3 linked regions of the Styela clava genome follow. The protein of the gene in region 3 purifies or fractionates together with the protein of the main gene of each other region. This does not show direct contact. Links are inferred from orthologs where the notes say so. Each region holds a gene or a part of one and is shown on either strand. Other genes may lie near its edges. The genes, in order: peroxisomal trans-2-enoyl-CoA reductase-like, peroxisomal acyl-coenzyme A oxidase 1-like and peroxisomal targeting signal 1 receptor-like.

What was found.
Region 1: the proteins of peroxisomal targeting signal 1 receptor-like (region 3) and peroxisomal trans-2-enoyl-CoA reductase-like purify together in Homo sapiens (affinity purification with mass spectrometry; 3 studies listed by BioGRID, with this or other methods). This does not show direct contact. The link is inferred for Styela clava from reciprocal best matches to the Homo sapiens genes PEX5 and PECR.
Region 2: the proteins of peroxisomal targeting signal 1 receptor-like (region 3) and peroxisomal acyl-coenzyme A oxidase 1-like purify together in Homo sapiens (affinity purification with mass spectrometry; 3 studies listed by BioGRID, with this or other methods). This does not show direct contact. The link is inferred for Styela clava from reciprocal best matches to the Homo sapiens genes PEX5 and ACOX1.

What each region holds. Positions count from the first base shown.
Region 1 is NC_135250.1:4,733,209-4,740,490, reverse strand, and holds peroxisomal trans-2-enoyl-CoA reductase-like, read left to right. Parts: upstream 1-4,904; 5' UTR 4,905-4,943; coding exon 4,944-5,798; 3' UTR 5,799-6,272; downstream 6,273-7,282. Other genes in the region: uncharacterized protein LOC120348670, read right to left, coding at 795-912; quinone oxidoreductase-like protein 2 homolog, read right to left, coding at 7,216-7,282. UniProt on the Homo sapiens protein: Participates in chain elongation of fatty acids. Catalyzes the reduction of trans-2-enoyl-CoAs of varying chain lengths from 6:1 to 16:1, having maximum activity with 10:1 CoA. Has no 2,4-dienoyl-CoA reductase activity.
Region 2 is NC_135252.1:13,996,556-14,004,446, reverse strand, and holds the start of peroxisomal acyl-coenzyme A oxidase 1-like, read left to right. Parts: upstream 1-4,348; 5' UTR 4,349-4,415; coding exon 4,416-4,548; intron 4,549-5,097; coding exon 5,098-5,263; intron 5,264-5,816; coding exon 5,817-5,980; intron 5,981-7,891. UniProt on the Homo sapiens protein: Involved in the initial and rate-limiting step of peroxisomal beta-oxidation of straight-chain saturated and unsaturated very-long-chain fatty acids.
Region 3 is NC_135256.1:14,572,678-14,580,288, forward strand, and holds the start of peroxisomal targeting signal 1 receptor-like, read left to right. Parts: upstream 1-4,210; 5' UTR 4,211-4,270; coding exon 4,271-4,394; intron 4,395-5,062; coding exon 5,063-5,206; intron 5,207-6,154; coding exon 6,155-6,274; intron 6,275-6,652; coding exon 6,653-6,761; intron 6,762-7,114; coding exon 7,115-7,304; intron 7,305-7,611.

The sequences.
Region 1 (7,282 bases), on a different chromosome or scaffold from region 3:
TCAACATATAGAGAGTGAATCTGATACAAGAATATGGCAAGCCTTTAGGCTAATCACAGTCGGATAGCAGAAATAAATAGAAAATTTGACACATCATTTTGATACGTCTACAATTTTAAAAAACAAATTTTACTGGTTGAGTATTAAAATTTATAGAGAAGAAGTGTTTTTATCGCGGTTGATTATGGAATGGAATCACGGGATATTAAATGCAACATAGCGACCTTTTTCTCGAAGTGAGGTCGTCCACCTTGTAAATAAGGGGATTGCATAAAAAATACATGACAAAATTATCTTCTACTAAATGTTATATAGAAAATATTAGGAAAGTCAGAAACAGCGAACACGAAGAAGTAATTATTAAATCAATTCTTTTAAAAAATATTCTGATGTGAAACTATTGCTCAATTTCCTTTCAATGAAAATAAACTTGGACATGAAACCCATTACATTATTTACCCGCTTATCAAAGCGATGTCGGTATCGGGTATTGGCTCGACCAGATTAAAATAATGAAGAAATGCACTGTAAATTGTTCTCGAATGACTAACAACATTTGGCAAGTTGAAAAGGGTATCATTTCAGCAGTTTGAAACACAACACCTGTTATTTATACGAAACAACAAGAAATTCACGTTTTAAGATGAATGCATAGACGTAGCCAGATATATTTCGTCCATATTGCGCGAATTCAATAAATGTTTCGTGAAAGGTACGAGAATACAATCCTCGACGTTATTCTAATATGCTGATTTACATTCGGGCAATGTCATTTTAGAAAACAAAAGTCTTACTTAAAAATTTCTTTCGCGGTTTCTGCTTATTTGCAACTTGGCAATTCACCGCCAATGCCAGACACAGGAGAACGACGATTGTTATTCTCATCATCTTGTCTTCTAACCGGTAGAACATCAAGCGAACGAGAGTTGTTTTTAAATGATACTCGTGGTAGATAAAATCCGAATTTATAGACGACTGTGATCGCTCCGGTAATCACGGGGAAGTCTCGCGGTGACGAGGAAAGTCGTCAGCGAACAACGACGTAAAACTCTAATGTGAAAAAGGTGTTCTTTTCATTGTTGTGGAAATGCCAATGACGTGATAAAAACATAAACCAAAGTTATGGTAACAGTTTAAATGTTTTAAATTCACACTCGTGACGGTTTTCTATCCATTTATTTGAACGACATTTCCTAAAATAGAGGCAGCAATCGCATATTTGCTGTTCGTGCAGCAAGTTTCAAGTGACGACTTGTAACTCTTCGAATTAACCTTTTAAACAAAGATATCTTCTATGAATTGATTACCGAATGAAATATACTCATATGATTTTCTATCGAAATCAAACGATCCGCTTAAACTTTGAATTCATTTCATGGAGCTTAAGAACTTTCAATAAGACTTTAGGCTATACGTCGTAAAAAACATATACAGTATATTCTCTCAAAATAGATGATTACGTTCACCACTGGGCATTACAAAAAATATTTAACGTTATAATATGCAGTGTGGGCATGACATTTATTTTTAATCAATTCATTTATTACCTATTAACCCACATTTAGCCCACCATGCATTTGGTAAAAATTCATCTGCGTGGAAAATTTGTATTCGTTCTCCCTGGGGATAGAAATTCTACCAAATAACTATTAAATCCAATGCGAGCCACGAACTAGCCAGTTCAATTCGGATTTTGGAATTAGATAGGATTTAATAGATGCTCTTCTGTACATACTAAAACTGTGCTCCAAATTTCAGTCGGTTATCCACATAGGACCTATGTAGGTATATGTATTTGCACTAAACAGCAAACCTTTTTATCTTAATTTCCCACTTCCGATTTAAGCTGAGATTTGATTCCCCACAAAATCTCCCTTAAAAAGAATTATTTTCCCGTCAATAATAAGTGGTAAGAAATTTTTAATAAAGGCTTGCAATTGGTGCAGACGCTAAAACCCCGCGAGAACATTCATTTGTCATTGTCAATCGCGAGACAACTGCATAGGACGCAGTATATCGTCTTCAAACTTATCCGAAATTGTCCCATACTGTCGAATCTCATCTTTTTCGCGTGGCTTGCTTATATTATGAAAATGCTGCGATTTTTTTTTATCACACTGATAATAGATCTTTAAAATATGTTGCTTCAGTTGATGGGGCTTCATAGAACAAATGGTTAGGGTCTCAAAACAACGCATTGCGGCAGTTGCTCAAATTTTTCTTCACTAACGCGAAATCGTAACCGAGATAACTACTATGATCGTACTCTCTTTTCATAGGATAGGATAGGATTTACATATTTATTCCGGAGGAGAGGAAAGCCGATAAGACGGCTTATCCATATGGCGATCCACGGCCTCTCGCCCGGTTACCATTCCAAGTCGGGTATAGAATTAGATTTACTGTATTGTTTGTTTTCGGAAGCATGGACTTGGTGGTGAAGGAAGTCGTAACCGACCAGCGGTTACGTGAACCACTCAACGACGGCGAGGAGTCCAGCAATCCTCTCGCACATAACCATCCCTGCATGGGATTCGAACCTGCGAACCCACGCAGAGTAGTTAGAGGTTAACGCTTAGCCCGTTGAGCCACACCGCCGCGCCATTAGCAATTACCTTTTATTAACAGCTTAGCAAAGAGATGACACGGGCCAGATATTTGTGGGTCTGCAGCGAAAAACTTCTTTTGTAACCGTAAGGAGTCATTGTCAAGTTTGTGGGATCATGATCGGTCGACCAGAATTCAAAATGAGTTACATGAGCAAATCACGATCAGAATATCATGATCGACAACGGTATATTTCACCAAAATTTTGATTGGCTGAATGGGAATCTTTTTCCGCTTCATGGCATATATTGTGTTTTTTTTTTGCGAAATATTCCTTAATTGTGTGTTTGTGCTGCGTTACATTTTAATAGATCACCTAAACGAGTCCATATCGCCTTACTTATTTCTTGCTCGTTGACAGACATCGCGAGGTAGCGCGAAAGGGCTCCTTATTCTTCCGTCCTTTTTGGTTGCTTATTACAAAGCGGTTTATTACTTATTTAGGTAGCCTACCGTACGGTACGATGCAATGAGAAGCAGCTAATGTGCGCCAAATTACTGTATTAATTATGCTTTCGATCAAAAGTGTATTCAAGCCAAATTTATTTGCAAATAATGTTGCAATCGTTACTGGTGGTGCCACAGGCATTGGAGCGGCAATTGCCCATGAACTCTCATTTTTGGGGTGCAATGTTATGATTGCATCGAGAAATGCCGAACGATTAAAAACTGCTGAAGAGGAGATGCAAAAAAATGATAAATTGTCTGGAAAAGTGATATCTACTCAATGCAACATTAGAAAAGAAAACGAAGTTGAAAATTTGATGAAAAAGACCATGAAAATATTTGGTAAAATTGATTTTCTAGTTAACAATGGTGGTGGTCAATTTGTAAGCAAAGCAGAAAAGCTGACAGAAAAGGGCTGGCATGCTGTTATTGAAACAAACTTGACTGGGACATTTTACTGTTGTAAACATTCTTATCTGACTACAATGAAAGACCATGGGGGTGCTATTGTTAACATTACTGCAGATATGTGGAAGGGTATGCCTTATATGGCTCATACATCAGCTGCAAGAGCCGGAGTTGTTAATTTAACAAAAACTTTATCCTTGGAATGGGCCAGTCATGGAGTAAGGATAAACTCTGTAGCCCCGGGCATAATCTATTCGCCGACTGCTCGTGCAAATTACAAAGACCCAACTATGTTTGATAAAGCAATTGATAATCAACCATCCGCGAGGTCCGGCACACCTGAAGAAATTTCTGCTGCTGTCTGTTTTCTACTGTCTCCCGCGGCAGCATATATTTCTGGCGAGACCCTAAAAGTCGATGCTGCTGGAAGTCTTTATAAAAACTTTATAGAAATTCCAAAGCATGACAAACTACCGGCTTGGTCATGGGATGTCGATCCTAAGTCCTGATACCTTTTATAGCTAAGTCTGTATATCAGCACTAATATAAATCAAGAGTGCATTATATTACTCAATCTGTGTAATTTATTCCACACATTTGTTGACAATTATTTTTAGAAAGGGTGCTTTTGTCTCAGGAATGTTTAAATAAAATTGATATTACTTAAAATATATCTAGTACGGCACAGTTCTCCGATTCCATAACAGCCCCTTACAAATATAACAGTAAGTGCAAGCAAATCCTTTACGAGACAGTCTGGGCCTCCATATCTGTAAAAATCAGCAAACTGGCACTGCGCAATAAACTAGAAGGAAGCGCAATTCTAAAAACGCCAGCATTGGATTCTTCGGAAAAAAAATGTTTAGCAAAAAAAGTCAATTTCGGTCATGTGACAGCTGTGATCAATTTAGGTTATTATCGAGAGAAGCATTGTGCGATCTGCCATCGTGTCAGGCGCCCTCGTTTCAGAGACAAATAGAGTGTTTGTTTTATTGAACTAAATGTTGGCACATCTTGGAATCGGAGAACTGTGCTATACTGTGTATGGCAAAAAGTTGATGTGCATTTAACCTAAGTTTTATCAAAAGTCTGACTAATATTACTTATACGCAGTGTTTGGGAGACTATTGACTTGAGTCACCATTTTTCAATGACCCTCTTTTTCAACTAGTCATTTAAATGAAATGGCTCAGAAACAATTAAACTCAATGAATGACTCGGTTTGTATGGCTTGTGACTCGAATCTCAACTCAAGGTTCAGAGTAATAGTTCAATGTAAAACAGAGTTTTATACCAATGAATGACATTGGTTGGAAATTATTTGAAAATACTTTTTTGATTTATGAGTTTGAATAATAAAAATCTAGGCGTTATATTTTGTAATCAAATGATACTCGTTATACTTTTGTAATCAAATTTTCATTTTAATTTTTACAAATTCTAATTTTTGTTCAAAATTATTCAAACAGGTTGTTAAAAAAATGTCAATCCGTAGTATATTTGCACCAAATTTGTTTTCTGGAAAGGTCGCGATTGTCACTGGTGGTGCCACGGGTATCGGTGCCGCAATTGCACAGGAACTATGCCACCTTGGATGCGACATTGTAATTGCTTCAAGAAATGAAGAGAAGTTAAAAGCAGCAGCGAAAAAGATGCAGGAAGACCCGCAAATGAAAGGGAGGATTTCCACAACGAAGTGTAACATTCGCAGTGAGGGTGACGTCATTAACCTTATGACAAGTACGATTGAAAAATATGGCAAAATTGATTATTTAATAAATAATGGAGGAGGTCAATTTCTCAGCGGAGCTGAAAACATAACTGCTAAAGGTTGGCATGCTGTAGTGGAAACCAATTTAACAGGAACTTTTTACTGTTGCAAGCATGCATATTTAACTTGGATGCAGGAACATGGTGGCTCAATAGTCAATATTATCACCGACATGTGGAAAGGATATACTTTTATGGCTCACAGTAGTGCTGCAAGGGCTGGTGTGGATAACCTAACAAAAACGCTATCTTTGGAATGGGCAGGAAGTGGGGTAAGAATCAACTCAGTTGCACCCGGTACAATTTATTCCGAAACAGCTGTGGCGAATTATGCTGACCCTGCGATCTTTGATGAAGCGTTACAACTTCAACCGACTGGACGTCTTGGAAAGCCTGAAGAAATATCGGCAGCAGTGTGTTTCCTTCTTTCTCCGGCTGCAGCGTATATAACCGGTGAAAGTCTGAAAGTTGATGGTGCTCAGAGTCTTTACACTAATTTCATAAGGATTCCGAAACATGATAACTTTCCCAAATGGTCATGGGAACAGACGAAAGCAAAATTATAAAAAATCATTTTGTCAATTTGTTACTATATTCTCTTAAATCTGTTTCTTTCCAATTTTCTATTTATTCAAAATATGCTCTTAAATATAGACTGTATGTAATTGGCTTGAAATTTTAAGATAGCATTTCTGTTCCATTTTAATAATTCTCCATTGTCAATAGCTACCTAATTTCCTTATTAGAGATCGAGATGCTAATGCTACAAAATAGGGGTTTTTAGAATTATTCTGGGATTATGACCTTTACGGGCATATCCCAGTTAAATTTATTCAATATTTAAATGCAATCCAATAGATTAAATATGTCAAATATCTATTTTATACTACTTTATGATCAAATTTAATTTTCTATGCAACCTAAATATAATTCAATACCTTACTACCAGTCACATCAGTTTTTCTACACTCCTAGAAAAAATACCTTTGGGCCGAGAAAGCAACAATAGTCATCATAGCAGCCGTAACCAACCTGGTGCCAGATGCTAGGTGTAAACTGATTCTACTTTTCAATTAACAAAAAACTCTGTTCTTCCTCGATTCATTGCTCGATAAGGTTATTTCACGGGTAGTTTTCACTTTTTTGGTCAAGAATTGTTTGAAAATAATGAGATTTGGAATCTACTAATCATAATACCACTGGAATGAAAAACAGGCAAGTCATAAGAGGTTGGGCACCACTGCATTACAGAATAGCTAGTTAGCAGTTACCATTGTTTTTTTTATGGGGTGTTCAAAAACTGCTTTAAACAAGAATGTAAAGAAGCTGTCAATAATATGACTATTGACTGGTATCTCTCTCATTTGAAATGATCTGACCAACTTATCACTGTGGTTGAGACTGACCCCTAGACAGCAAGGCCAGATCAAACAAAACTAGGGAGAGGCGATGCTTCAATAACAGAAACTCATTCAGGTATTACCAGATTCAGTGTGACTAAACAAACGATCATGTTACATTCATTGAGAGTCCAATCCTGGTAGGATAGGTTGGAAGCGGCGCATATCCCATTACGATTCATATGCCAGGCTTTTATATCGCCGGCTAGACAAGAACATGAAACTTACGAAAATACTCGTATAGATCGTTTCAACAAGGAGGAATACAGAGAGATAGCTCTTTAAACTTGACTACTAACTAAGGGATGACAAAGATCTCAGAACTTAACAATAGTAACTTTCTATATTTGATTTGTGTGATTGGTTGCCAAGCACATATTTATATAATATAGCAAGGATTATTGAATGATTAAAAGTAGAAAATTGCACAGTAAAATGTCATGAAAAATTTGGTAAATGATAGTTTTTATCCCCGAAAATCTCTGGGTCTGTTACATGAAGAGTATTAAAAATTAGTGGTATAATAAATTCTTGTTGTAGAATCACGTTATTCAATTTAGGCTGTAAACCTTCGTGATAAGATTCAAGTCATTTCTAATACAACTTTGCCGATATTTTTCCTTGCTCTGATATATTCAAAAGCCTCATTC
Region 2 (7,891 bases), on a different chromosome or scaffold from region 3:
CGTTTATTGTAAAATAGAGACAGATTTAGGATTGCGCAATAATATTCGATTATTCGGTTCGATTCGGCAAAAATATTCGATTCGAATCAAAAAATTATTCGATTTTGGACAGCCCTAATAGAGAGACTTTGCTTTGAACTTACTAAGAGATAATACAATAACCCTGTAATTGGTTACCCCATTCTCTAACGGGTTTCTGCCAATTTCTGAATTTACATACGGAAACGGTATCCGTATTTAAGTGACGAGCCTTTCCGCATATTACCCATATCGGTAGATGGATTATTTCGAAAACACCATAACACACACGAATTGAAGCACAACCTTTAAAAAAGTTTAAAACATGAGGAAAATCATGTGCCTGCCCACCAGCACACACACCCACACAAAAACCCAAATAAATGAGGCTTGGGCCAGAATTGAACAAATAAAATACCCGATAGTATTTCGGACTGTTGTACTTTTAACACTTACCGGTACATTGATAATAACCAATACAATCTCATTCAAAGATAATAGGGGGAGTGCAATGCAATAAAGTGACGACAATGGTCATTGAAGCTAAAAAAAACCAAGCCACGAGAACTACTACACTAGTGATTGCTAGACTATGCATTGCTGAAAAGGTGATAAAGAGGTTTAAGATACAAACAAACTCAAAACTCTGAAGGTAAATTCGGTGTATGGACACTAGTAAAATAAATTATCAGGAAAAACACTAATCACACGTTTGTAGCCTAATTGATATCTATTGACCAGCATTGTTAAAGCAATATATCTACACACAAAGAGAACAAAACAAAAATATGCCATTAAATGAATGTTTAAAAACGTTGAGCATTGGTATGGTCATTTCAAGATACACTACAAACTATTTGTGCATATATAGTTAAATCTCATTTAGTATTCAAGTAGAATCTCTAGTAATAGCCTAGTATTTGCAGTAGGCTATCTGCAGACAGTCGCATTTCAATTCCATACTTTTCTTAATATTCTTGATTTATTATCTTTCGATTCTGTTATGACAGTATGATGTCTGTATGTTGCCTTAATGCCACAATGTCCTTTTCGTATTTCAGTCTTTACATGTTGATATATATCTTATTCCTATCAAACTGTCCGCACATAGACATGCGTAACACGCCGCGATCGCAAAATGTGTTCTTTGTATATATCAGGGGAAATTCAGGGACTTACCCTAGAGAGTCACGTGATTAATCTTAAAAACAAGTTTCGCCGAGCTTATGGACCTTTCCCCGAGCATCGACTTCCCTGTTTATTTTGTGACATTAGCCAATCAGCAAGATGCAAAAAGTGACGTAACAATGCTCCCTTTTCGCTTCCGCCCAGACAGATTTTCAAGCGTGGTCGTGAACATTACCTCGTTTTCGAACTCTATTCGTTAGTTTTCAGTTGTGTTTCGGAAACTAAGATATAAATCAGACAATTCAAAGATCACTCTGTCTTCCTAGGAGTTTTAATTTAATTTCAGTAATAGAAAATTAGTGTAGAATTAGCTGGGATAGACTAGGCTAAAATTCTTTACCGGTACTTTTAAAAAACAGATTGTTATATGCGATAAATCATAATGATGCTGTGAAACACATACCTCATTTTACAGGCGCCAACTCGCAAAAGCACTTTTAAAATAGCCCCGAAAATTTTGTAATGGTAAAGTATAAGAAGAATTTTTCGGGGGTCAAAGATCGGGGAAAGGTCCATTTTGACACATTGTTCATTTATGTAACATTGGATAATTAGCAAAATATCAAGAACAGCGTGTAAAAAAAATTCGAAATCCCTTTTACATTGTCTCGAGAATATAATGATATATTGTGTGAATTATTTTATTTTCGAATAGTTTTCAATACAAGATGGCTGCGAGACTATAAAATTGTGGCAGCGTCATATTTACTCAATTTCACAGAATATAACATCTCCAAAGCTTTCTTCTCAATAAATTGAAATAAATATTATCATGATATATTCTTTTATTAACCGTGAGCGAGACAAGTGGGGGACAATGCATTTTGTAGTACGTGATTGTTGGTAGAATTTAGTTGAGTACCCGGGTATACGCGGAGACTCGCAACTTCAAAAGTGGTATTTCTTGCCAACAAACGTTTACGATACGTCGGACCGTTAGTCGTTGGTCGGACTTGACGTAGGACCTGGTATTAATATTTGAGTCTATCCTATCAAAGCCTATATGTCGCCAGGGTGTCTTCTAGTGGTGTCACTCTCAATGTCGCATCGAAACAAATGCTGCAATACAGAAAAACGCAAAATAACATGAAAAGTTAACTGGAAAGCCCACATCAATTAAAGCTGAGAGTGAAGTTTCATCTTCTGTGATCGGTCATCGCGAATTTTTTTTTTAATAATTTGATATAGATATTTCTGGCGTAAATACTCGGATGTGGAGTAAAGGACATTAGGGCATTAGGCTCTTTATACATCGAGGTTGAAAAAGATTGAATGGGGAGAAGATATATTTATTCTCGTTCAAACCTGGCCCAATTGTCTATTTATACTAAAATTGGCAAAAAGACATGTTTCGACTCCCAAAATAGGTGTCTTATATGTACGGTCCCTCATTTACACAAGACCAGTAAAGTAATTATATTAAGGTATTATTTACACAACGAGTTTGAAAAGGAGTATATGGGGGGAAATATATTTATTCTATTTCAACATGGCCCAGTCGTCAGTTTATACAAAATTGGCAAAAATTGCTTCAGATACTGGTTTATGTGGTTCAAACTGTTTTTATTGCCCGGAACTGATGACTGCATTTAAAACATTTTATGTACCCAAAATTTCTCTGTGGGGGCTTTGCTAGTAGGGATTTAGGCAGGTATGATACAACAATAGGCTATGAAAAGTATGGGCATCTTTACGTAAAATCCTCGGTCTATAACAAACAGAACTTAGCAAAAGATAATCGAACACAGGGAATCATGGAGAAAAGTCAACAGGAGCTAAAGCGTACTCGTTTCAACAACAGGCGGTTTAAACGTCTTGATGAGATCGCTGTAGTGTCAACTTCATAAGTAGTTGTAATTGTAAGATACTTATTCTTTTGTGCAAAATTGGTCTTTTTGCAAATTTTTTCATGAATTGACTATCGAGCCAGGTTTAAACGAGGTTTCAATCTTCCCCACATACAAACTTTTCCAAACTCGTTGTATAAACACTTTATTATATGTACTAATGCTGGTCTTGTGTAAATAGGGGGGCAGAAATTGTAAGACACTTATCTTTTGGGGTAAAATAGGTCTTTTTGTGTTTCTTCAAAGAGGCGGATATATTTGTAAGACACTTATATTTGGGGGAGAACTATGATTTTTTTGCAATTGCGCGGCGGTGTAGCTCAACGGGCTAAGCGTTAGGAATACGCTTGCCACCGCACCTCTAATTACTCTGCGTGGGTTCGCAGGTTCAAATCCCATGCAGGGATGGTTATGTGCAAGAGGATTGCTGGACTCCTCGCCGCCGTTGGGTGGTTTACGTAACCGCTGGTCGGTTATGGCTTCCTCCACCACCAAATCCATGCTTCCGAACATAACATTATAACTAATCCCATACCCGACTTGGAATAGTAACCGGACGAGAGGCCGTGGTTCGCCATATGGATAAGCCGTCTCATCGGCTTTCCTCTCCCCCGGGATAAATCTGTAAATCCTATCCTATTATTCACAATTTATATGCTTTTATCTGGCAACGCATTAGGCATCAGCTGATTTTCCACCGATGCCTTTCTCGTCGTCTCTCGCATCGCTCGAATCAAATTTGAGTTCTGGCAATCGCCGATCGGCGCGTCTGCTAGGTACGGTAACTTTGTTCTTTTCGCCTGGGGAGTGGGGTTTGTGTTGTCGCCATCATTTTGGACTGGCTGAATGGGGGAGTAGAATTATAAAACTGTAAAAGATCTGAAGATGCCAAGATGGTTTTAAATTACGGTTGAGGTGTTGCTGGGGGCTTTGTAATTTGTATCTGAATCTGACTTTAAACTGGGCTTACTCCAGTGAAGGCTGGCAGGATAGGATAGGATTTTCACGTTTATCTGGGCCGGCCGGCCGGGTGGAAGAAAGGCCTCTCATCCGGTTACTAATCCATGTCAGGTACTGTATGGGATTAGGCAGCCGGTTATTATTTCTTTCTGATCTATGGCTGTGCCAGGCTGTAGCTGTAAGTTTGCAATTCATACAGGAACATGTTTTTCATATCCTCTTTCTGTAATCTGTTTTGATGGCATCTATTTGCGATATCCATTTGTTTCTGTACCGGTACCAGTACATGCTTAGCATTTCAGTCTGTGTCAGCTATTGTAACAACTTTATTAATTTTGTTTAAAGCTATTAGTGTGTCCATAATTCAGTAATTATACAACTAGTTGAAATTTGTGATTAACAATGGCATCAAGTGAGGAGCAGAAAATAAATCCAGATATACAAAAAGAGAGAGATACAAGAACATTTGATTATGAGGAACTAGCGATGCTATTGAATGGTGGTAAAGAGGAAAGAGAAAAAAGAAAGAAAATTGGTAGGTCATCCATTTCTCCAGTAACTGAAGTTAGAGTGATTCAAAAATTTGTGGATTTCATATCATTAAAACCTGTAAATAATACTGATACTTATAATATGTATGTATAAATAGATTGGAATTAACCTGACTTAATTACAGTTGTACTTAGTGTTCAAATATAATGAAGGTCTTGATTGGTGTTGAAACTATGAGAACGTATTAAAAATCATTTACCTATCATATAAATAAAATATAATAAAATGTAGAACTTTTTTAGCATAATGAGATTGAGTAAAATATTTGTGCAGATTTATCTTCACAGTTTCATTATATTTTATATGCTCGTTTGTTTTGTAATATAAAGTTCTTGATAACTGAAATAATTTTTTTCATATGAATAGTTGATAAAGGTAGATTTGGATCTTGATGATATGCTCTTCCATATATCTGGTGCAAAACATTCCATCTAACTTATTTTCTTATTGTTCAAGTTTAATTTTGCATTCAAATTGTTTTAAATTTTCCTGCATACTATTTTCTGATGCATGTAATTTTCTTATGTTTCAGTATCCATTGTTGAATCGGATAGGGACTACGATGGACCAGATCCTTCTTTCATGTCTAGAATGGACAGATTTGAAGAATGGATGAGAAAATCGTCTCTTCTTGTCAGGAAGAAAGAAAAACTGGGCGAATTGGTTCAAGATCACAAGGATTTTATGTTTTATAACTTGTATGATTGTAGTTATTATCTCTTGTTAGAAACTATTTCAGGGCCTCCAATACCTTTATTTAAATAACTATACTGAATATTGTAGAATAAAATCTATCATTAACATTCTTAACTACCTCATAGCTGTTTTTCGGTCTTATTCGCATGAACTTCTTTATGTCTCAATTGGTATTTTCTATTGGGCATTTCAGTAATCAGTAGGTATTTTTCTACCATACTAAAATACACTTTGTGAATAAACAATACAAAAAGAAGTAAAATGGTACTTTGGGGTGAAAGGATTTCAGTTAATAAGTTCTTTATAGTCACAGTAGCTCTTGATATTTTGGTGATTGTGTATAACCTCTCTCAGAGATCGAATCCTCTATTCCTCAGTGAGTGCATGTGACCTTGCTTTGAGTGAAAAAAGACAGTTAGCTACATGATACTAAGCTTATTCTTCACACATTTATAGGATTTTTGTAAATTACAATTTTCCTGGCATCCAAAATGTGTGTATTGTCCGATGTCATGTTTTATTTAAATCAAGTCTTATTTTCAATATCACTTACAGAAATGTCACCAAGAAAAGGCCTAATGTCTTTTTTGATCTTCATTATGGAATGTTTGTGCCTACATTGATGGGCCAAGCAACTGATGAACAAAGAGCAAAGTGGTTGATACCTGCAATAAATCATGAGATTTTGGGCACCTATGCTCAAACGGAAATGGGCCACGGTAAGTCAAATGATCGTAATAATAAGCTTGTGGCAATTTTGTTTTGTACAGCAGTGATCAAGTCATCATGGGGGTATTTTGAATGTGAAACGATGCTCAATAAGCATCTCTCAATAATCAAAATCATGAATTTACAAATAATACACCACTAAAGGAATCCTGTCAGTAGATCTGACTTTAGTATGCGGGTTAATGTGATTGGCCCAGAAGTGACAACCAATCGAATCATTTGTATTGACAAGCAGTGTTAACTCTAAGCAAATTATGAGTGCGAAAGTGCTTCGCAGTCGAAAAAAAAAGTGCGAAAGTGCTTTTGCCGATTTTAACAAGTTAGGTGCCCTAGCCTTTCATATAACCCATTTAAAACGGCATAGATACTCAAAAAAGCGCTCCTCCGGTTAATATTATGAATTAAAGAGAAGCCTGCCTTTTCGTTAACCCAGTTCCCTCTAAGCGAATTCATGTTTAATTAAAACGAGCGAATTCATCGGCAAAGAAATGACATCTGCTAACACCTTCCGGGACAAAACGTTCATGCAATGTATCACGGTGTCAGTTGCTTACTGGCGGTGTCAGTTGCTTACTCGCGTAAACAGCAAAGACTTTCACATTTGTTACTCCTTCCATCTAACAGATACGAGGCAGGCTGGAAACCATATTAATTACAGGGTGGATCGTTTGTACAAATCCCGTGCAAAATAATCTCTCCCCCCCCCCCCCCCCCCTCCAAATATAAATAGCAATCAACTAATTAGGGTTAGGTGCGCTGGAAATTCAACTTTTCGATTTATCCCTAAACCTAATCTGATAATTATTAATTTGTGATTTTGAACCACTTTGAAAGTCGCCACCGGCTGTTTTAAAAGATAAGTTAACCTACGTTCCCTCCGAAATATTACGCAGGATACTCCCCTGTTTTAGGAGATAGGTTGACCTACTTTTCTTTCAAACCTTTTTCTCCGAAATATTACACAAGATCACTTTGAAAATCCTCCCGTTTCGTGAGCTAGCGTGACCTAATTTATCTTTTACATTTATATTATACTATTTCAGAGCTTACCCAAAGACAAGTAATTTTTAAATGTCGACATGCCTTGGTTTGTGTGCGAGTTAGTTTAAATCGGGCAGAAAACTTCATATATTGGCAAAATGTTTAGTAATGTCATGTACTTTCAGCATTCATAAATAGCACTCTTTGTAATGCTGCAAAAAAAGATTTGGTTGCGAGAGTTACGTGAGATGACTGCCGTTGTTTTCTAAGCAGAATGTAAACAAAATTTATAATTAATAAACGGGAGTTACGACGCCCTTCACACATCGTGTGTATTAAACTTCCCTGGTAAGTACTATTATTATTGTACTTATACACCTGTTGGAGTATTTCGGACAATTTCGAATTTAAAATAAATGAAAACCCGACATATAATAAAGACGCAAAAGTAAAATGAACATTTATTGAAAAAGTTATTATTTCAGAAAGACAACATGATGTACAATTCCGCCAAAACCTCGATGTTCGCAAGTGAAATGATAAATAAATACTTCCCTGTATTCGATCAATTAACTTTAGCGTATCGTTGTTCTGCCAACAAACAGCCGGGTGCGACCATACGTGGCCGGCGGGATGTTAAAATTGTAAACAAGAGAGAGGTAAAATCAATCGCGAATTTCGTTATAACGGCTCGTTTACGAATTGTTGCGCCTGTTATCGTCGAAAATGATTACATTTGTTGTATTTTGAGGCATTTAAGCAGTAATAATTACATCATCAAAATCGTCAAGTGAGATCTTGAAATTGCAAATTCCGTAAATAAAATTGTGAATTATTCGGTAACGAACTCAGCTTCAATGACCGTCGGGGTATTGTTTTGTTGAAAATTATTATTAATGTGAGAGCGCCAAAAACATACA
Region 3 (7,611 bases):
GTCGCAGCGCGGGTGTGCTGTTGAAAATTTTCATCAAAATTATCACGAATTTTTAAGTATACGATCTATTTAAATTCGCGCATAATAGAAACTTAGGCTATTTAGTGGAAAACTGAACTTGCAGTTTGGTGGAAATTACGCCACACATCATCTCGAGTGATGCGTAGAAGAGTGTGTTGTGCCGAATTTGAAACAAATGAGTCAATCACGAAAAATTCATTTTCATTCATTTCCGTCCCGTAATTTGATGTTATTTGGAGTGCCGCATAAACGCATTCGGCAGTTTTAACGCCGCCGAAAACAACGATTAACAAATGTTGAATGTATTTCTTTTGGTCCCGTAATTTGGTGTTATTTGGAGTGCGCATGCACGCATTCGGCAGATTTAAAGCCGCCGAAAACAACGATTTATTAAAAAACGGTCAATGTTTTGTTTTTTTCGGTTAATCGCTCTCTTTTTCCGAATCGCGTAAATCTGATTCGAATCGATTCGGAAAAGATGCGATTCGAATCGATTCGTAAATCCTATTAACGGCACATATACTTTTGGCACGGGTATAAATTCTGATTGTTTGTCGTCAAGTACGCGTGTCATTTAGTCCATCGACATCGATAAACTAAATTCCGACACAATTATTAGGTATTAATTTAATTTTGTTTAACTACACAATTACTTTATAGATATATTGACGTGACCGCCTATCCCTCTAGAATGTCTCAAAATATATGATAGCAATTGTAGAATATTATAAAATAGTAAAGTAAAAAAACATCCTCGACGGTTATAGGTAGGCCTTCTTTTTGTCGGTGCTGATCGATATTCTTTCATGTTGGCTTTGACTTATTGCGTCGACGATTACGATTAGCCACGAAGGAAAATATTTGTAAAATGCTTTTAATTTGAACGTAGGACGGCGGCGCTAGAATGTGTGGGTGATATTCGATATTCTTTTAAACACGAACAACAATATTCGAAGCTCGCGATATTGACATTAAATTCAAATTGGACGACCCGGCTTATGAGTTTTCTAATTGAACACCGAGATTACTAGCGTTACTGTACATTGTACAGTGTATCTTAATCAGTTAAAGCAAACACCAAACATTAATCGGTATCGGTACATCTCTAAATATAACTGGAATAAAATTATGCCCTAACCCAAACCTGGTACACATTCTACGTTCCGGTGTCCGCCATCTTGGTGCACATACTACGGAGCGCCTTTATTTCATCGTTTTTGTTAGGGTTACATGTAGCTCACGGTGGAATGATGAAAATCAGCCAGGGGCGCAGTCAGGATTTTAAAAAGGGTGTGTTTCAAAACCGAAAATTTCCATTCCCTTATGAAACAGTCGCCGCGATTACGCTCTCATTGAAAAGGCCGAGTTTTTCAGCGTATACCAACATTCTCTCCAGTAAAATATTCATTTCATGATAGCTACGAGAATCTAAAACTTTCTTCTATATTGATATAATCTTGTGTCCAACGTAACTCGCGGTTACGTCTTCTTGCGTCAAAATATAAACATTATTAGTCTGAAATACCACTCAATCTTTTGATGTAAAAATATGAGATAAACATGCCTAATGGCTAATTGTATTTAGTTTCGATTGATTGTATAATAACTCTCAGCGAATTTCAATTCTGGGCAAAAATAAAGTAATTATTATCGTTGTCGTGAAATAATTGTTGTGATTCAGGGAGAATAAACACCAACTAAAAGTGTTTACGGCCTAAATAACACGTCACGCTGATAAAAACAATCAGGAATTTTAGCGAAAAGCAATCGCACGCGCTATTTGTGACTTTTTCAGTTTTCCATGAATTTGAAAGGAGGGGGGAATTATAAAATCGCGAGTGGAAGGACTTTCTATTAATATTTGAAAATTGCAAAATTTAACCCTTTTTCGCTTTACGTAATTTTTATGAAAAGGGGTATCTTCAACAGGGAAGTACTCCCTTTTCTAAGTTTGAGTAGTTTTAGATTCAATGTGGGTGATAAACTTCATATATTCTACTTTGAAATGAAATTATAAAATCGCGTGCCTCTTGAGCGGAAGATATTTCTATTAATATTTGAAAATTGCAAAATCAAACACTTTTTCGCTTTACGTAATTTTGATGAAAAGGGGTATCTTCAACAAGGGAGTACTCCCTTTTCTAAGTTCGAGTAGTTTTAGGTTCAATGTGTGTGATAAACCCTATATATTCCACTTTAATATGAAATTATAAAATCGCGTGCCTCTTGAGCGGAACATATTTCTATTAATAATTGAAAATTGCAAAATTTACCTATTTTTATGTTTCACGTAATTTTGATGAATAGGGGTATCTTCAACAAGGAAGTTCTTCCTTTTCTAAGTTGGAGTAGTTTTAAGTTCAATGTGTGTGATAAACCTTATATATTTTACTTTGATATGAAATTATAAAATCGCGTGCCTCTTGAGCGGAAGATAATTCTATTAATATTTGAAAATTGCAAAATTTAACCCGTTTTCGCTTTACGTATTTTTGGTGAAAAGGGGTATCTTCAACAGGGGAGTACACCCTTTTCTATGTTCGAGTAGTTTTAGGTTCAATGTGTGTGATAAACGTCATATACTGTACTTTGATATGAAATTATAAAATCGCGTGCCTCTTGAGCGGAAGATATTTCTATTAATATTTGAAAATTGCAAAATTTAACCCTTTTTCGCTTTACGTAATTTTGATGAAAAGTGGTATCTTCAACAGGGGAGTACTCCTTTTTCTGGGTTCGAGTAGTTTTAGGTTCAATGTGTGTGATAAACTTCATATATTCTGCTTCGATATGAATTTATAAAATCGCGTGCCTCTTGAGCGGAAAGACTTTCTATTAATATTTGAAAATTGCAAAATTTAACCCTTTTTCGCTTTACGTAATTTTGATGAATTGAGGTATCTTCAACAGGGAAGTACTCCCTTTTCTAAGTTCGAGTAGTTTTAGGTTCAATATGTGTGATAAACTTCATATATTCCACTTTGATAAGAAATTATAAAATTGGGTGCCACTTGAGCGGAAGGACTTTCTATTAAGAACATATTTGGACACAATTTATCCCATGTCTGATCTCGAATCTATGCGAGACGCTCTATTAAAAGCGCAGAATAATTTCTTATGAAATTTTCATAACATCGACTGCGTTTTTCACAGCACTAATATTGTTATTAAAATCACCGATTGTTCAAAATCGGAAATTCCCATGCAACGGCTTCTAAAACGTTCGCCGAGATTGTGTGTTCGTTAAAACGGCTGACGTATTCAGCGTACAATGACTCTTATGTGGCGTGAAATATTTAATCCGCGACAACTACAGGAATTTGAAAAGTCCTTCTATATTAATTTAATTGTGTTCAGTGTAACTCGTTGTTGCGTCGATAGAGTCTACTGTAATATACTACTGTGGACATAATAATGTGAGATAAATTGCGTCAACAAAATGAAAGCGTTATTTCTCAAATTAACACGGTAATCCGCGGACATAAAAATGTGTGGTAAAGTGCCTGATAATATCGTGTTGTATGTAATTTGTATTTTCGCAAATTTGATAAATCTGAGCTGTTCTTGTAATATTGACACGGCTCTATCGCATTTCTTTCGGTTGTAATGCTTTTAAGACAACCGTTAGACAAATCCCTGCGACAGCAATAAAATTTCATTGAGTTAAATTTAGTTCAAAAAGTTGATGGAAGATACTTTACACATTAATTATTTTATATAAAAAGTTACGCTAGTTTCCCGCCGGTATTTTTACAATGAATAAAAAGTGCCTCGCTCGCACAATTGACAAAAAATAAATAAACAATATGTAATTTTAATCTTTCTTCATGAAACAAGACATTTGTCTTCCGCTATTTGTCATTACGGCTAAATAACACGTCACGCTACCGAAAATAATCGGCTATTTTAATAACAACATTAGCGCTGTGAAAATCGTCAATTGTGCGTTTTCACGGCGATTGTTGGTCTCGGATGGTTGGTCTTGATGTTTCTTCCATATCTATAATCGAGAGCAATTCCATAATCGAGAGCAATTCTGCCGTGTGGAATTTAGAAATCGCCTACGTTTTACTCCATCACCCTTCAAAAAGCACAAAGCTGTAATATCACTCTTCAATGAGCACAAAAACGAGACTTAACGCACCGCTGCGCACAATTCGAAGAAGGTTTGCTACTAGCTTCACAGTGGTCATTCATCGCAGTTCGAGTTTCTGAGTTGGCTCGCTGCGGAAGGCTTTTCCGAAGTAAAATGTCTGCGATTAAGGAACTGGTGGCAGGTGAATGTGGAGGGGCTAATCCTTTGATGAAAATAACTCAGCACGTTAACCAGGATTTATCGTTTCAGCATCGAGGACTGACTAACAGAGTAAATGGTAAGGGTCCTTGGTTTATTCATCCGTCTGTCAATTCTGCAATTGGTCAATCATTCTGTAGAGTGCAGGTTAGATTTATGCACCGTTGGGTGATCACATTCCTGCATTCAGATACTGTATTATAATTACCATACCAAAAGTCTGAAATCCCTTTTATCACCAGTAGCGATAACATCTACTAACATTAATATATGGTTCAACAATCAATCGTTTATAAGTATGTAGAAAACTGATACACAACAACCTGACAACATCATTTGGTGATATATTGATGATACAATCAATAATACAGGGTGTGACTTTATACGCTGATATGAGTGAATATGTATTTTCATACATAACAACTCCCATAACAATGCTCTAGACAAGCATTCTTGATACATCATGCAACAGTGACCATGCTGTTCTATGCTGAGAATGATGGTCATCCCGGATCCTCTACCCAATTTTCATACATTTTATATATGAATGAGATGTTGAAAATTGAGGCAGATTTCGTCAACTTGTTATGTCAACAATGGTTCAACAGTTTTACCATTAGGTCATGAAGTGTTTAAACAGCTGATGATAGTTCTTTATATCTTCACCCTAATAATCGTTTGAAGATTGTCTAGTTCAATAATATCAAAAATTTTTCTAACATTGTAATATTTGATGTGTTTTTTCAGGCCATGGAGCTCATCAACCTCTCGCGGAACAATATGCAAATGAGTTTCTTCAAGATCATCAAATGGTGGTCAAACATCCACAGACATTCGATATGGGACGACTGTTACATGAAGCACGTTTACTGGATTCCAGACCACCACAACGTAAAACATTTTACTCTGCCTTATACTATTGTGTGAAGTTTACTCATCTATTTATTGTACATATCGTCGATGTGCCGTACCTCTTTGTCCTGTGTATTGTACAAGAGTTTTAATTGTATATTCCATGTCTGTTGTCCTACTATAACGCAGCAGTCCTAAACTGCAGTTATACTTGTTGGGGTTCATGTCGCACATCTGTGTTTTTGGCCAGTAAGGTCTTGAACATGTATCCCGTCTTTGTTATACCGTTTAATTATTATGCATATACTGTTATATTTTTGAGACAAATAAACATACATACATACATACTATGTGCCAAGCTTTGGTTGAGCAATTATTACTTATCGATCTTAAGATCGGTAAGTATATTGATAGGTATTTGTCTGTATGTATGTATGTCTGTCTGTGTGTCTGTTAGATGCACGCGATATCTCACGAAAGCGAGATTGAATCTGCTCCAGATTTTGCATGTGCATTCATCTTATCTCGGACCAGATTCTAATTGATTTTGGGCGAATTATGTCGTATAATTAGCGAGTTATCAATCAATTATTGATTAAGTGATCTAGATTTTTGTAAAGCGAGAGAATTTTGAGACCCGCCGAGTGTGTGTGTGCGATGCGCAGTGCGCAAGTTACACGAGCGGATGAATCGAAACTGCAGTTTCTGTTTTGGGGGATCCCCTAACTATCGATCGATAAGTATTCGGTTTCCAACCGATATTCTCGTTGGTGTTTTTTATTGAAACCTACATACTCAGGTCTTGTTCACATTTTATTGAGTCAATGGGTATTGCTTGTGATTTGAAAATTATTGCATTGATGGATATGTAATGTTGTGCAGAGTTTTTGCTGTAAATGACTTTGTGATTAATGATTTGTCTAGATATAGCTTGAATTAGCTCATGGTATTTTTAAATCAAATAATAGCACGCTATTCAATCAACAGAAATTCAAATCTCAGTTACTGCACAACATTGGGAAAAAGATTTTCAAAGTTTTAGGCCTGCTCCATTTCGAGAAACTGGACGTGAAGAAGCTCTGTGGGCTGAAGAATTTTTGCGACATGGTGAATATAAATTTAAGTTATATGTTATTGTTTATCAGACATTTTCTTGTTGTTTGCTTCAATTTTCCTTATATTTTAGTAGGGTTAGATGTCTTGTGCTTTTCATTGTTTATGATGTGTTATTTCAAAAACATGAAGTCATATCATTAAGAACTTTAGAGAATTTAAATATTACCAGAGTCTGTGCCAGGATATTAGGAATAGAGTGTATATTTATAACTCAGTGGCTTAACAAGCTGAACAAAATTCTTTGTTCAATTGCTGACTTCATGTGATTTGTATTTGGTCGAAAATTCTGAACACATGTTGAACTTATCACATTATTCCCTGTTCATTGGTATGTTTCTCATAATTTTTGTCCATTTATCAACTTTTCAGAACAACATCAAGAAATACCTTTTTATAATAATTTGAATGGACCTAATATGATGGGTTATGAACCTGCCAGAATACGAGAAATAGATGATGTTACAAGTACTGAAGACTGGTGAGATATTATCTTATGATTGACTTAGATCTGACATGTATTATGCCTTGTGGTCCCTCACGGAGGCTTTTAGCACTGATAGCCATCCCCCTGTTTATCATTTTGCCCCTGACATGGTGGTCCCTCTCCAACTGCTCTGCGGCCCCATGGTAGGCCACGGGCCCCCGATTGAGAACCACTGTTTTATGTCCATGCATGAACTTTTAGGTACTGGTATGTATAATATTACCAGATAATGTTTGTTCCGTTCGAAATTCTTTTTTCATTCCAAACTGAATCCTAAAGTGATTTTTAGTTGGTATATATGACTTTTATCATAGTCTAATATCTTTCAACTGATGATGTTTTTCCAGGTCAAAGGAATTTGGCAGTGAAGTTCAAGAAAAGACAGAATTACAGAAAGCGGCAGATGAAATGGTCGAATCATTCTCGAAAGACAATAAAATATCAAATACCGAATTTTTTGATTTTGTTTCAAGTCTTGGTACAAAAGGTAAAGCAGATGATTGGACATCAGAATTTGTGGAAGAGAATGGAAGTCAGGTACATTTTAATTATTCATAAATGTATAAAAAATCATCACAAATTAGGAAATGATGCTGTTTTTTATCTGGTCATCACAAAGGTATGTTGTTAAGCATGTTATTCTTAAACATCTTCATTTAATTGTCATTTTTCATGACCACACTTTATGACTTTTAAAAACACCAAATCTTTTTTCTTTTCATCTGCTTTCTCTCTGAAACACTTTCTTTTATTGTTTATCAGGTTAGAGTCATCCAGATAATGATGTTTTATTTGACAGGAAGTTAATGATGTTCAGTTGTTCACTAGTTATGCCAATATTTTG